Linked DNA regions of Drosophila melanogaster. The protein of the gene in region 1 interacts with the protein of each later gene in a pairwise test. Each region holds a gene or a part of one and is shown on either strand. Other genes may lie near its edges.

What was found.
Region 2: the proteins of CG44837 (region 1) and Hr39 interact in a two-hybrid assay, tested with the Drosophila melanogaster proteins (one large-scale study listed by BioGRID).
Region 3: the proteins of CG44837 (region 1) and CG34376 interact in a two-hybrid assay, tested with the Drosophila melanogaster proteins (one large-scale study listed by BioGRID).

What each region holds. Positions count from the first base shown.
Region 1 is NT_037436.4:11,935,828-11,940,424, forward strand, and holds the start of CG44837 (uncharacterized protein), read right to left. Parts: upstream 3,046-4,597; 5' UTR 2,873-3,045; intron 2,681-2,872; 5' UTR 2,514-2,680; coding exon 1,146-2,513; intron 93-1,145; exon of another isoform or gene 1-92.
Region 2 is NT_033779.5:21,235,446-21,240,287, reverse strand, and holds the start of Hr39 (hormone receptor-like in 39), read right to left. Parts: upstream 3,039-4,842; 5' UTR 2,884-3,038; exon of another isoform or gene 2,868-2,883; intron 2,008-2,867; 5' UTR 1,723-2,007; intron 1-1,722.
Region 3 is NT_033777.3:22,446,265-22,451,136, forward strand, and holds the start of CG34376 (uncharacterized protein), read left to right. Parts: upstream 1-1,834; 5' UTR 1,835-2,151; coding exon 2,152-2,356; intron 2,357-4,872. Other genes in the region: CG12499 (uncharacterized protein), read right to left, coding at 1-268; CG34288 (uncharacterized protein), read right to left, coding at 708-871, 937-952.

The sequences.
Region 1 (4,597 bases):
ATTAGTAAAGCACACCCAATCGCAATCGCACCTATTGTAGAACTATCTGTACGCTGTAAACAATCTCCTATAAAGTCGTAATCAAACTATGCAAATGGCTAGAATTCATTTTTTCAGGTCCTAACTATCAGGCAATCATTTCATCATACAATGGTATCATCTACATCATCATCTACATACAATGGTATTTAAAAGTTCTTTAGAGTGCATTATTAACCGAGAAAATATTTCCTAGTTGAAGACTCCTGTCATGCTTTAAGTTTCCCAGGCCGTTTGTTCCTGAGTATTGCACAATAAAAGTCTCACACCCCTTAGGGCCACATAGAGTGTGCAATTGCATCCTTGTGGTAAAACAAAAGATAAAGTCTTGAGTTTTCGAGGGGTCAGCCAACAGACTCCAACTCTATTTGAAATGGCAGCTATTAAACCTAAAATCGTCTTAACAATTACAGACAATAACGATGTGAGGGTGCGAGAAACCCAACTGTGAGCTTAATCCCGGCAAGAACAGGCATCCAGCTCATTGTCGGATTCAAAGGGGTATTCAATTTAGTTTAAAAGTTGAACCCATCCCATGCGGGCCACTCGCAGCCAGACAATGGAGCACTTGGCAATGGCAGAGTCAGTGCCCCAGGGCGATCTCCAGGCGGCAATCTGCCAGGACCAATCCAGCCGTGAACCCGGAATGTCCACAAAAGGCCTCGCTGATAATGAGTTTGGGAAATGCCTGTGTATTGGAATCTCCGCCAGAGTGCATTAAAAGCTGGATAGAAAGTGGAGGCCCTCTGAATGTGCCGCCATTCACCTGAATTGCCGGACACCCGCACTGCAGATATAGTTGCTGCAATTAAAATTACACGGCGCCATCACTTGTAAAAGGGCTGTGCACGGCGGGAATTTGACGCGGTTTTGGATTAAATGGGCAAACAGGAAACAATTAGCATTCCACTTAATTGCAAAATATCTAAAATTTCAATAACTAAAGCCATTTGCCTTCCTATACTGATGGTATAACAATAGACCGACATTAATAGACAATATAAGCTTCGAAAGTTACAATTTGTTAATCATATGTTTCTTATTCAACCGAAATTGTTTTCAGTTTTTATTTGTATTAATCTCTTTTGAACGTAGTTTTCACTCACCTGATAGTCCATTGAGTTGCCATAGCCCATGTGGTTGCAGGAGCAGGAACAGTGCTTGATATGCTGCTCCAGCTCGTCATCGATGACGGTGGTGCTGGTTGTTAGGTGTCCAAGTGCCTCGTGATGGAAGTGGGCATGCTCGAGATCCCAGTGATCCCTCTGGCGAAAGCGAATGTCCTTTCCCTGCTGCTCCAACAGCTCTACAGGATTTGCAGCTTGATGTGGCTGCGGGGATAGATGCTGTTGCGCTTCCCCGGGCCAATCGAATGAGCAGGACTTGAACACACGTCTGCCACCCGTTCCGCCCACCGCTGTGGATTGTGTTTCCCTGGCGGGACTGTTCTGTGGACTGGGGCTAATGGCATTAACTTTGCTGTTATCGCTCTCTTGGGCTGTTAAGCTGCCGACTCGCAGGAGAGCGCCGCGCTCGAAGCTTTTGGCCGCCTGGTGGAAAGCTCCGTACGCAACAGTTTCGTCCTCCTCAACATCGCTGGCATTCTGGTAGCGACGCATTGGCGGGGCGCCACCAGTTGCTCCGGCCACGTTACCGTTACCAATGGCCGCCGCCGTTGGCGTCACAGTTACCGCCGAGCTGGCCGCACTGAGCATGAGGCGGAGTATTTCATTGGTGTCCTTCGACGGCAGCGGCACACTGCAGGAGCCCGTTTCCGCCTCGGAGATTTCCTGTGTTTCCGAGTTCAGCTCATCCGAACCGTTGGGCTCCTCGACTTCGATCTGTTGGTTTTGGCGTGCACGTTGGCCCACTATCGAGGCGGCCGTGGAATTGGCTCCGTACTTCCAGTACGTTTTTCCAGTGCCAGCGATCCTCTGCAGATGACTTCCAGCCGCCTGACGTTTTCGCTCCTGCAGCTGTTGGAGATTTTTAAAGACTTTTCGCACCGGTTGCGTGTGATGCAAGGTGGCACATCTTCTCATGGGCGGCGGCGTATATACCGGGGAAACACTGTAGCTGTGCGAGTGCCGACCGGGCGAAAGTGAGCCACTCGACTTCGCGCCCACTAAGCGGGCTTTCAGTTTACGGCCAAAGCCCAGGCCACTTCCGCCTGCCGTTGCGCTTCCGGTTCGCGAGGTGAGTGAGTGGGCGGACAAGGAGAGGGCGCGACTGAATCGCAGAGCCGCTGATCTCTGCTGCTTGACGGCCATCAGCTGGCACTCGTCGATCGTCGGCAGCTTTAGCAGGTGAGGATGCAGCTGGGCATAAGTTAGTGAAGGCTTCGCACTGGGCACATCCGGTGAGGGATTCGGCAGCGGATCGAAGAGGTTTCTCTGGCTGAGGGCCAGGAACTCGCGCTGCTCCTCCTCCTCCAGCGCCTTCAAAGCACGCAGGTCCCACTCGCCAGAAGACATGGTTCCCTTTAGTCACTCATGGATTGTTAATTCTTTTTCACGAATTTTAGTTGATATTTGAGTAATGACACGCAAATCATCTTTATTTATGTTTCAGTATTAGCACTTATTCTGGTCTATTTACTTTTAATTTGCATATTTATGAAAATAAACACATTTTTGGTGGCCTAAGTATTCAAGTATTCAAGGATATAACATTATAAAGGAGGTACAACTTATATGTACATATAATATATTGAAAGCAAGTAAAATAATGTAAGCTAAGTAATAAATATAATATACAAAAAATAACGTTTCTATTATGTAAGTGAAAGTAAATGATAAGATAGTAGATATAATAATCGGATTCCAAACGCTACCTATTTTTACTCTTTCACTAACAATGTTATGTTTGTTATGCTTTTCCAATATCACGGCGTAAACTAAAACAAATAAATTATAACACGTCAATCCCGCCAATATTCCGTCACATTTTCCGTTGGATAAAACCGCTAACGCTACCCGGTTCAATTCAATTACCGTTGCCACGCGGCGCTGCCAACACACTGGGCTCTTCAGTGCTGCGGTACCGTTACTTTATAACGGCACTGCTAACAGCAGCAGCAACAGTTTCCGCAAGGAGTACCCCCCAGTGGATGGATGCTGTGGATCGTAAGTGACCTGGCCCAACAAAAAAGTATGGCAGTGGGTCGCCATGTTAACAGTATGTAATGTAAAGTCCATGTTAATGCAAAGATATTTTATTGTAATACTTATTTGAAAAAAAGTAACTATAAAATATAAAACAAATATCCATTGGAATCATGTAACAATAAAAAGAATTTAACCTCCAAAGTAGCGTTTTTTTGTTTTAATGCTATGCCTTAACAGACCTTAAAACATTTTTACCAAACAGGGCTTTTCTTATTGAACTCAATAGCATACATTCTTCTTGGTAATCAAAGTTACGCTTGCTCCTGGCCACAAAGCCAAAGTCTATTGTTTTATGATGGTGTTATCCCAACTTGGGGCAAAGAGTTGGCCCAAAGGTGATACCGCAGGTGACGGGGCGGCAATGAAATATGCAAGTGCATTCATTTGGCATCCAAAGCAATTTCGCAGTCAGCAGGACGACGACACATAGCCATTTTTGTTAACCTCATCTCAAAATGTTCACCGACCCCCAAGCCAGCACTCAGAAAAATATAGTGTGATATCTAATATTATGTTTTTAAATTCAATATAAATTATTTAAAAAATCAATGTGCGAATAGCTAGAAAACATGATATATTTTAGTTGTACAGATGAAACGGCCCACGCATTAAAATTTTTTTTGTAGTGTGACCATTTCTTGTAACTTAACATTACAATGCACGGCCACATTTCTGCACACCTGTACCTGGGTACATATGTAAGTACTTGCTCATGGCACACACATACTCTGAAGTGCTCATCCTTCATCCTGATGTATGGCCATCAAGCATCGGATGGGCTGAGTGTCGGAACACGGAGGGGAAGTAAGTATGTGCACCGCTGAATCCCCCGAATCGTGTTAATGAAATTCAAGCTGGGTCAAAAATTTGCATTAGCACATCCGGCATCCATATGCAAATCATATTTCAGATACGAGGACTCACATGATTAACAAAAAGCGGATCGATGGGACGTTCGTAAAAACAAAAATATATATGTAACTTTGTGGATATATATCCATTGCTCCATTAAGTGACTTATTTTAATCTTAGTATGCAGGCAAAGGAATAATTAATTATTATATAATTATATTAATTGCCGTTCTCTTATAATAAATTAAATTTTTTCTATGGCACAACAATTATTTGTTAATAATTACAGGAAATATCTACTAAATAGACGTTTAAATTGGTTTTATTTAAACCTTTCACGTAAATGTGAAGGCGTTGTGGTAATTAAAAATATTTAAATATTAAGAAAAAAACAGAAAAATGTGGTTTCCTATTGTCTTGTAAAGCCAACAAATAATTATTTTGAAACATTGGCTTACTGCAAATTCCCGTGGGAATTTTGCTGTCTAAACAATTTAAAAAGGATTCTTCTTTATTTAAAGCTTAATAACTTGGAAAGA
Region 2 (4,842 bases), on another chromosome or scaffold:
GCAATTGTTAACTGCTAATTAGCAGCCAGAGTCAAAGCCAGGGAGAGAAACAGCATGTATCAACTTATGTATTGCAAGAGTGGGTGGTGCACTGCCGAGGGAGAGGCACGGATGGCCGAAGTGGGTATCAAGGCGGTTGGAACACCCGAAGGCATATTCGAAAACCGGTTAACAGCTGGCAGCCAACTGACGAACGAGAAATACATCACCGAATGGGCAAATCTCAAAGACTTTACAAGTTACAGATATTAAGGCGTATGGGTCGGGTTAATATAAATATCTGCATGCACAAAAAGAGTTACCAGAAGCAAAATTTTTTTTTGCAGAATTGGAGACCAGGCTTACCACTCAAGCCCGATAATTTATTGCCTTCTTCCACTCATTGCGTTTGTAAGCATGGGCAAATCCCTACATCAGTTGCCAGTTCTTGTAACCGCGTCTCGACGGCAGAATCGACCGCCTTTAGCCAGAGTTATGACCCCGAAAGCTGTAAATTAACCTTTGAGGCCGCGCACATTTAAAAGGAGTTCAAGAACATAAACCAGCGTCCGCAATGTATAATCCGGAGCCAATCAACTTCCAAACTCGCGGTCAACCTTCGGACAGACTGAATCCCAGCTTACGAAATGAGAAGAGTTGAACGGTAAGAAGGCACGGTAAGAACGGCTGATAGACACAAAAACCGCAAGCGACGCAGTCAAAATAATAATGAGCCCGACATTTAAAATGGTTTATGAGACAGCCCCTTCTGCGGCTCCTCGAAAGCACAAGACTTGGCCCAGCCGCAGCCTCATCAGCAGCGTTGTCAGCCGCAGAATTGGCGATTCTTCGATTTTTCTGGGTCAAGCACCACGCGAAAGCAGAAAGAGCTAAAGACTTGGCCCAAGAAATGTGTGGTAGAGGTAGAGTTCAAAACGTGCCTTGGCCGTACTATTCAGACATGCAGTGCCTTCCCACCCTCTTATTCTCCCTGATCGAGACCGTCTCTGTTTCGTTGTCGAAACAATTTCCGGCGGCTGCACCGAGAAAAATATAACGTGTAACGATGATCGAACAATAAAGACAAGCGAATCTATACAGAGTCAATTCGGAAAGCTTTAAGTTTTCTAGAACCGAACATAACACATGTTTAATTAAAGCCTTTATGGCGTCCTTTTTGCGCTTTCAGAGCTCGGTAGAGTTGAATGTCAATGTAATGAGCCAGCCAAGTTCGGGTCATAAAGCCTCTGCCACATGAAAGTAGTTCAAGTACTCAACGGCGCCGTTACATTTCACTGCTTATGAATTGGGAGTCGCCCGGCCAGACAGTCCGCCAGACGACACTGACTTCCCGATGTGTTAATAATTTTGTTTTGATTTCAGGGATTCGAAAAGCCTACTTTGACTCTGTGGAAGGGGATAAGAAAATATAGCGCTTGAATTGGGCCTCTTGGATCTTTAAATTTAAAGGACAAAGGAATATTAAATCACTTAAAAAATGGTAATTTTTACAGCCCCTATATTGTTGTCCTTAAATACAAATGAAATGAAAGCATATGGTTTATACGATTCGCCCAGTTTTCACGATGTTCCTTTTGAAATCACATCAAGTTATGGGATGGACATCATGGACATCAATTATGGGAACATTTTGTTTTTAAGGAAATGAGATCATCTTACCATTTTAAAATACCTAAAAAATTATGGGAACATTTTGTTTTTAAGGAAAGGAGATTATCTTACCATTTAAAAATAACTAAAAGTATTCCAATTGTCCCTTTCTCAGTCTATCAAGATTTTAATGTATTTCCGTTGCTGTGTTGATAAGATTTGTTACCCAAAAGCCAGTTGGGATTTCACGTTTTACTCGTTTTGTTCGACTCACATTCTAGTCACATTTTCATAGAGAATTCGTTTAATTTGCGTGCACATTATGCGTATAACATTTCTTGTGCAATATGTACCCGACTGGAAGCCACTTGATGCCAATCGAGGAAATTATTGCACGACAAATATCGGATTTTTCACCTGTGAATTAATAACGGTAAATTACTCATCCAGCGTCGCGGCGGGCGCACTTGTATGGGTTAACGAGCGAGCAAGCAAGTCAACGAATTCACAATAAAATAAACAAAATGCAGACGCGAAAAATCGACGAAACTTGTTGGAGCTGAAAACGCGGAAACTGTTGCAAGCGAATCGAAACCAGAAAAACTTTTCTGCACACTCTGTCCAATCAGAACAAACACTCGAACTCTTCTCTCCCACACACACTACACCAGCACTCACACGCACAAGTTCTGCTCTTGCACTTGCCTCTTTCTACTGCTTTCTTTGAGTCTTGGGTTTTATTTTACACGACTGCGGCGCTCTTGTTGCGTTTTCCTCACCTTTCGCAGAGTTTATTGACATTTTCAGCGTTCGCTTTGTGCGCTGCTTTCTTCGTGCGCAATCTCTTTTTTCTCTCGCCAGTCTGTTCGCTCTTTCTCTCTTTCCCTTTCTTCTCTCCGCTCACAACACTTGCTTTTTTGTTTACAATGGAACGCTCGCACACACACACTGGTAAACGGGTCACTCACACGCACACAGAATAACCTTCAATTTTATCTTATTGCGCGCGCCCCAGTCACTCGTTATTCTTAAACTTTGCCGAAATTAGGATTTGCTTTGGTTCGCTGCTGCAGCTTTAAATATCAATCAATGTCTTTGCAATGCTGGTGTGGTTAGAAATCCACATTCACCTCGACGCCTCTTCCACACACCCATACACGCAGCCACGGACGACCTTTGCGGTGCGAGCGAGACGACCCGCCACAAAAAACTCCACTTCCGCTCTCTCGTTCACCCGTTGTGCTGACGGCGAAAAGGTTTTCGAATTAAGTACATACATATATTCTTATTCACTTATTCACGGATTTAACTACATATGCCACTGTAGGCGCTACCACTCTTTTTCGCTCACAGCATGAACGGTGTTTTGCGCTCGAATCCGATTCCACAACCGCTCTAGCGATCACACGACGCAACACAGTCCCGCCTGCGACGAAGTAGCAAAATGTTTGTTTTGTTAGTGGAGCTCTCGGTCTGTTAGCGAGCGTTGCCACCTTTCTGCGAGCTGTTGCTGCACACTGCCACTTTACGAACACAGATCTGATAGCGGGACAAAATACGTCAAGGCAGCGACGGTGGGTTACTAGTGAATTTGGAACGGTGGTCTTACGACGTAATGGTCTTTTATATTTTCATTATTTTTTAAATTGTCGCTCATTTACCAATAAACCTTTTTACTTTTTCCTGATAGTCCGAAGTCAGATCAAATAGGAAGTTTCACAAAAAATTTTCATCCAGAGAAAATACGCCGACGCTATTCGAGTTTTTTGTATTCGTTAACCGGGAAAGAATAGTTCGAATTCGTTCGCACTTTATCGATAGTAGATTGCTATTATGGAGCCCACTTGTAAAATAATTTAATTCCAGACTGATAAAAGCGATCAACTTTTGTTAGTGGTTTAAGTCTATGATAATACTTAGTTCAAATTGTTTCAAAGTAGTCGATAATTTATAATAACAGTTTTAGATGACCTCTAGGAAATAACTAATTACCCACATTCTTCAAGAAGTGTTTTCAATTTGTTCTATAATTAAATAACAGTTGTATTAATTATGTAAATATTGTTACTCATAATACAAATTAAACAATATAAACACACATAAATAAGAGAATTGGAATATTTTGTCTCAGATTAGATTTTCCACACGGGAAATTTAAATCACCACGTTTGGTAATATCGTATCGTTTTATCCTAAACGAAACACGCTTATTAATACATAAGCTAATTGTTTTTATACCCGTTACTCGTAGAGTAATAGGGTTTACTAGATTCGTTGAAAAGTATGTAATAGGCAGAAGGAAGCGTTTCCGGCCATATTAAGTATATATTCTTGATCAGGATAAATAGCGGAGTCGAACTGGTCATGTCCGTCTGTCCATATGAACGTCGAGATATCAGGAACTATAAAAGCTAGAAAGGTTGAGCATCGACTCGGCTTAATAAGAATATATTTTATATCTGTTAGACATTTTATCGGATGAATTGTAACAGGTATAATAAACGATTTCTTATATATCGTCAGACATGTGTGTATATTTTGAACGAAACAACTTAAATTAGTTTGTAATGTTATTTTATAAATTCCATCCTAATAAATATTACTGGATTTGCAATGAGTTCCTTAGAACATATTAGTACTCGTGTTTCACTAACCATGTCCATCAAGCTGACACTGCTATGAATGGGTATGTGTGATGGGTATCTGGTGGACAAGCTCTGATCTAAATGGTGTTGTCCATCCCAATAGCACTGACTTGTCTGTAGTCTAAACTGTGAAACACTCCTTTATTACTGAATTCTAGATAAATGTACATACATATGTATACTACGGAGTGGTTGCGAAATCAGAGGCAATCAGATATTGAAGCAAGTTCAAGTGACATACAATGGAATTGGTCGTGTATAGCCGCCTATAAAGACATTAATAGACGACCCCAAAGCTCTCATTTAAGCTTAGCTTTAGTTTTCGGTAGATACAACTTATTAGTGTCAGAGATATTGAGCTTTGGTCGGCCACTGCATTTACATTATTTATTGCGTAATATTTAAATTGATAAATTGCGCATATATGCTAATGCTAAGTCTTCAATCCATATGTTATATTGTATTTTCACGCATTTTTAGATGAAGAAAACATTCTTGACTCGGATCGACTACGATCCACATTGGCATATGTTTGCCGTGCATAATATGGGTATTCTCCATTTAAATGTCTTTGGATGTGGTTAGCTAATTGGTTAATTAAGTGAGA
Region 3 (4,872 bases), on another chromosome or scaffold:
CCACTTCCACCTGTTGTTCTACACTTGTGTCGGATGTCTTTGTCTTTTTAGACTTCTTCTTTGATGGAGTGGAGTCAGCAGGATCGGTTTCAGTGCTTTCCAGCGTGGATTCATCGAATGATTCCTTAGTTTTATCCTTCTTTTTCTTTTTCTTCGGTGTGTCGGACTCCTTGGCCAGTTTTTTGGGCACCTCCACTTCACCTTCATCCTCTTGCTCAGCAGTTGTCTCCTCGTGCCTTCTCTTTCTTCGATTGGGTTGAATGGCCATTTTGCTTTAATAATAATATTATAAATTATATTTGCCTATTTACAGCATAAATCGTTTAAAATTTAAGTTAAACACAAAAACAGCCGCACACACGTGCTGGCAGAGAATGGTATGACCCTTTTTAAAATACCGAAAAATACCGCCCTTGTTTCAGTGTTGTATAGGGCGACACTTGGCGCGCTAAAATATAAACTGGCGAAACAGGAAAAAAAACAGAACAGCAACTTATTCAAAGAGATTAAAGTTATGATTTAATTTACCAACAATTTTATACTCTCCAACAATAAACAACGTATTTTACTACAATACTAACTACAAAGGGTGCACAACTTTGAAAAAACCACATCTCGGCACGGAATGACTCATAATCCAATCTGCCATTTGGCAAATTTACAGTTTTCCCTGGACGTGAACGTTTTTTCTGTTCCTTTAACCACGTCTAGTCATCCTCGAGGGCCGCATTGGTGGCTCCTCCAGATCCATATCCAGATCCTGCAGGAGCCGTGCTAGTCACCGATCCAGAAATCGGGAATTCTGGCAGAGTGGAGCGTTGTTTGGCTGGAGCCGGCGGAACCGCGGGCAAATCGACTGATTTACTTTTGCCTGCAAGTACACAACTATTATTAGTCGCTGTTATTGCCTTCTGAAGATAGCTGCAAATCACTTACCAAAACAACAACCCATTATGGTATACTCTTTACTGATTCTCGGGACGAGTGGGCTAATTTGCTGAAAGTTCTTTGAGCACTAAATCGGGCAAATCAAATCGGTGGCCAATTGACTGGGTGCGTATGTGTGCACCTGAGGCGTACAAACGACTCATGGCTAATTGATAAGCCCTGCTGTTACTTTTATTCTCTTTTTGTTTAAAATGTAAAGTGGGTTATTTATGACACCATGGGTAGGTCTGCTATCAACAGTGTAGTTCCCCATCGGCCGTATTAGCATCGTGCAAAGAACCGTAGAACTGTGATAAAAGCGGACAATGCCGGTCGGATATAACCGCAACGAAGCGACCAACAAACCAATTGCGATAAGCTCTTATCAGGGGAAAACGTTTTCAATGCTCTCTAATTGGCGCTAAATATTCAATTGTCGTTATGATATCGTTTATCGAAAAGGCTATCGATTGAAAATTCCGCTCTTGTGGGCCAGATTTCAAAAACGCTTAGAAGCATTTGACAATTCAAGCAATTTACGTAGTAATTGCGAACATTTTTAACAAATTAGTAGTTAACATACATTTTACAAAAATATATATTTGCAGGATTTATAATCTCTTTAGAATTATTATTTCTGTATAAAATCCCAGAATTTCATTCCTCTCTAACGTTTTTCTTTGTGATAACAGTTTTGATTGTTAATCAAATTTTTATAGCTGGAATTAAAGTTCAGCAAACATTTTCGTTTGTTTACCAGTGGCCAGTGAGACCGTTCGCTGTGGCGCCTAAAAAACCAACATTTCACTGTTCCTCAAAGTGCGGGGGGGTGGTGCGTTCATTATCAGCCGGAACGTAAACAGCGTCGCTGCTTTTCACGCTTTCCGATAAAAATGTTTAAATCACACTGTGTTAATTAGAGCCCAAATCAAAATCAATGCGCCCGTGGACGCGAACGACTCGAGATCGTGTGCGCGTGAATGCGGATCGAGTAGTTGGTAGCTAGTTTATCAAATTCGAACCCTTGATATAATAAAAATAAAGGTGCGCGAGAATACGTGAATTGCGATTTTTGGCCCGTGAACGAATCACGAGCAAAGCGGATAAACAAAAGCCATAAAAAACAGATTCGCACGAGAATCATCGCAAAAGTCTGTGCGCATAAATTACGCTCCCCAATTGGAATTGGAAAAGTCTGGTTTTCGGCGAGCATCCGCATCCGCGATGGACGACGAGTTTAAGCTGTGCTGGAAGAACTTCCAGGACAACATAGCCAGCGGCTTCCAGAATTTGTACGACCGCGGCGACCTGGTGGACGTGACCCTCGCCTGCGATGGAAAGCTCCTCCATGCCCACAAGATAGTGCTGGCTATCTGCAGCCCCTACTTCCAGGAGATATTCACTACCAATCCCTGCAAGCATCCCATCAGTGAGTACACCGATTAGGCAGCACAAGATTGCGGCCCCATCGCCGGCGTCCCCGGTTTAAATGCTAAGTTATGCAGCGTGGCTTACATTGTCAGCGCGGCATTTATATGTGTATTTTGATACTGGGCACGGAAGTGGTCTTCCAGAAATTGGTCAAGTTTAATGTTCCGAGCTTTCGTTGCCATGCATATGGATGATCCTAATGGAACATTGAGTGCGTAACTGAAGGATTCGGGTTTCTTACAAATTGCTTGGCTCTTGGCATTGCAAATACATTGTAGACATATTTTCTTGGAATTTTAATAAGCCGGAAAAGAGTCTGACTATTCGCTGGGCTATTTCATACCCTTCACATACATACATAGTCTGTATAATGCCAGGGAAGAGTGACTGCTGGTTACTTGGTCAAGCATATTCCCCCAGAAATCGGTCAGTTTATCACTGGGACAGCGGTGTCAGTTTATCGAGGAGCCCGCCCGTCAGCCTGTCTGTTCATCACTCTTGTCAAACGCTTAGATATAAATCAACCTTTGTGTTAAATTCCATGACACATTCGGTGGTTATCAGCCCAGCTCCACCGCCAGTTCGATTCCGAGTTCCAGACGAGCGTCCCAGCACGACTACGTCTGTCTTTACAGTATCGCTACCATAAATCCAACTATACCCGCCCTATTAACTTTACACTTTATTTCATAAGCCTAACTTGCCTTTTTTTTAGCATACAAAGTAATCAATCGAATAATATTGTTAGTCGTTTGATGGATCGCCCATTAAAATTAAGTAGTGCAGCGATATTAGGAAGATTATAAATCGTTTATGCAAATGCATTAAGGTTTATCCAGCCTACAGTTATCTAAAGACTTTGTAATGAACTGTAATCATTTGATAACCGATTTGATTTACTAATCCAATTCAGGGTAATATAATCCAATTCGTAATATCTGTCCGTTTCTGATTCATGTTCCAGTTAGTGAAGTTTGACTGTAGAGTCGTAAATCTAAAGACAAACAGCAGCAACCCACTAAGAATCGAGGTCTGGTGATAATCCTCCGGTGAGCCGGAGTGCCGCCGCGTTGTCTATGCCTGTGTGGTAGCTGCCGGAGTCCTCCGCCTCCGGAGGCACACCGGGATTGTTTACCCACGCCACGCACGGAGTATCCACCGGCGGAGGGAGTATCGTGATAAGGTCCATGGCAAGAGAGCGCAGAGTCGGAGCCGCAGCCCACTTCGATCGGATCGGGGAGATTGGGTGCGTTGCTGACCTCATCAAATGTACTTCAAATGGACTCTAGAACGGTGGTGTACTACTATTTATGTACGCTATATGGTGTATGGATATGATATCGCCGCGGCCCCTCCTGGTCGGTACGATTCCGATTTCGTTCGCAGTCGTGTTGAACACGGCTGCCTGCTGCACGGTGGCTTTATCTGATCAGGCGGCCATAAAAAATAAGGTTTTATCTTTTCAAGTAGCTGCAGGAAGGTGCTACCTACCCACAAACGCTGCTACAAGAGGTATTTCCAAAGATAAAGAATATTAATATACCCTATAAATAACGGCGAACCCAAGCGGGGGCAAGCTATTAAATGTAGACCAGCCCAGCCAACAACAGTCATCGAGGTGCTAACAAGCCAAATGGCTATGTGTTTGTTCCGTGTGTAACACGCAGAAACAACAACAATAGTCGAAATATTTTTTATCTTTTTATCGCGTTTAACAATCATTTATTGCCCAACTGAGTAACTGAGTGCCCGCCCGCCCACTCCTTCACCCTTACAGCCACTCGAAGAATTTAGTTTAGTCGAGATATTGATTAGAGAGCCTCGCAACATATATACGTGTTTCCGCTGCTCCGGACGTGTAAATCAATCCACACTGTGCCGTTCCAAGTGGTTATATCTGGCCAACAGTCACAGTCCCCAATACAATGCTAATCCTCCAAAATTATCTATTTATTATTGGCATAAACAAGACGGACATAGCTCAAAGAAGCTGGGGTCGGAAAAATCGAATTTTTGAAATTTGAAAGCTGGAATCGTTTGCCCATTTTTTGCCCATGTTTGCCCACCAATTAGTTTTTTTTGCCCACGTCCAGTTTTTGAGATATGAATTTTCGAAAAAGTTCGAAAATTTTCGAAAATCAAAAATTTCGCTTTTTTCAAAATTTTTTTTTTTTAAATCGCAATAACATCGTTTGCCCACGTTTGCCCACCCTTTAGAATTTTGAAAAAATGTATACTTTAGAAAATATAAGGCTTTTAAGTTTACCTCGGTCTAATCAGAGAGTAAATCGTTTGCCCATCTCTTAAAACCAAATATTATCAACAAAAAACGTTTGCCCAACAATTATTATTAGTTTTTATCGTTTGCCCACCCTTTAAAAAACCTTTAACAAAAATTTTTTTTCGATTGCCCACATTTAAAATACAACCAATTTCCTTAGCCAACCTCTTTAAAATAAAAATTTCCAATAAAAAAAGTTTGCCCACCATTTAAAACTAAATAATTTCGATTGC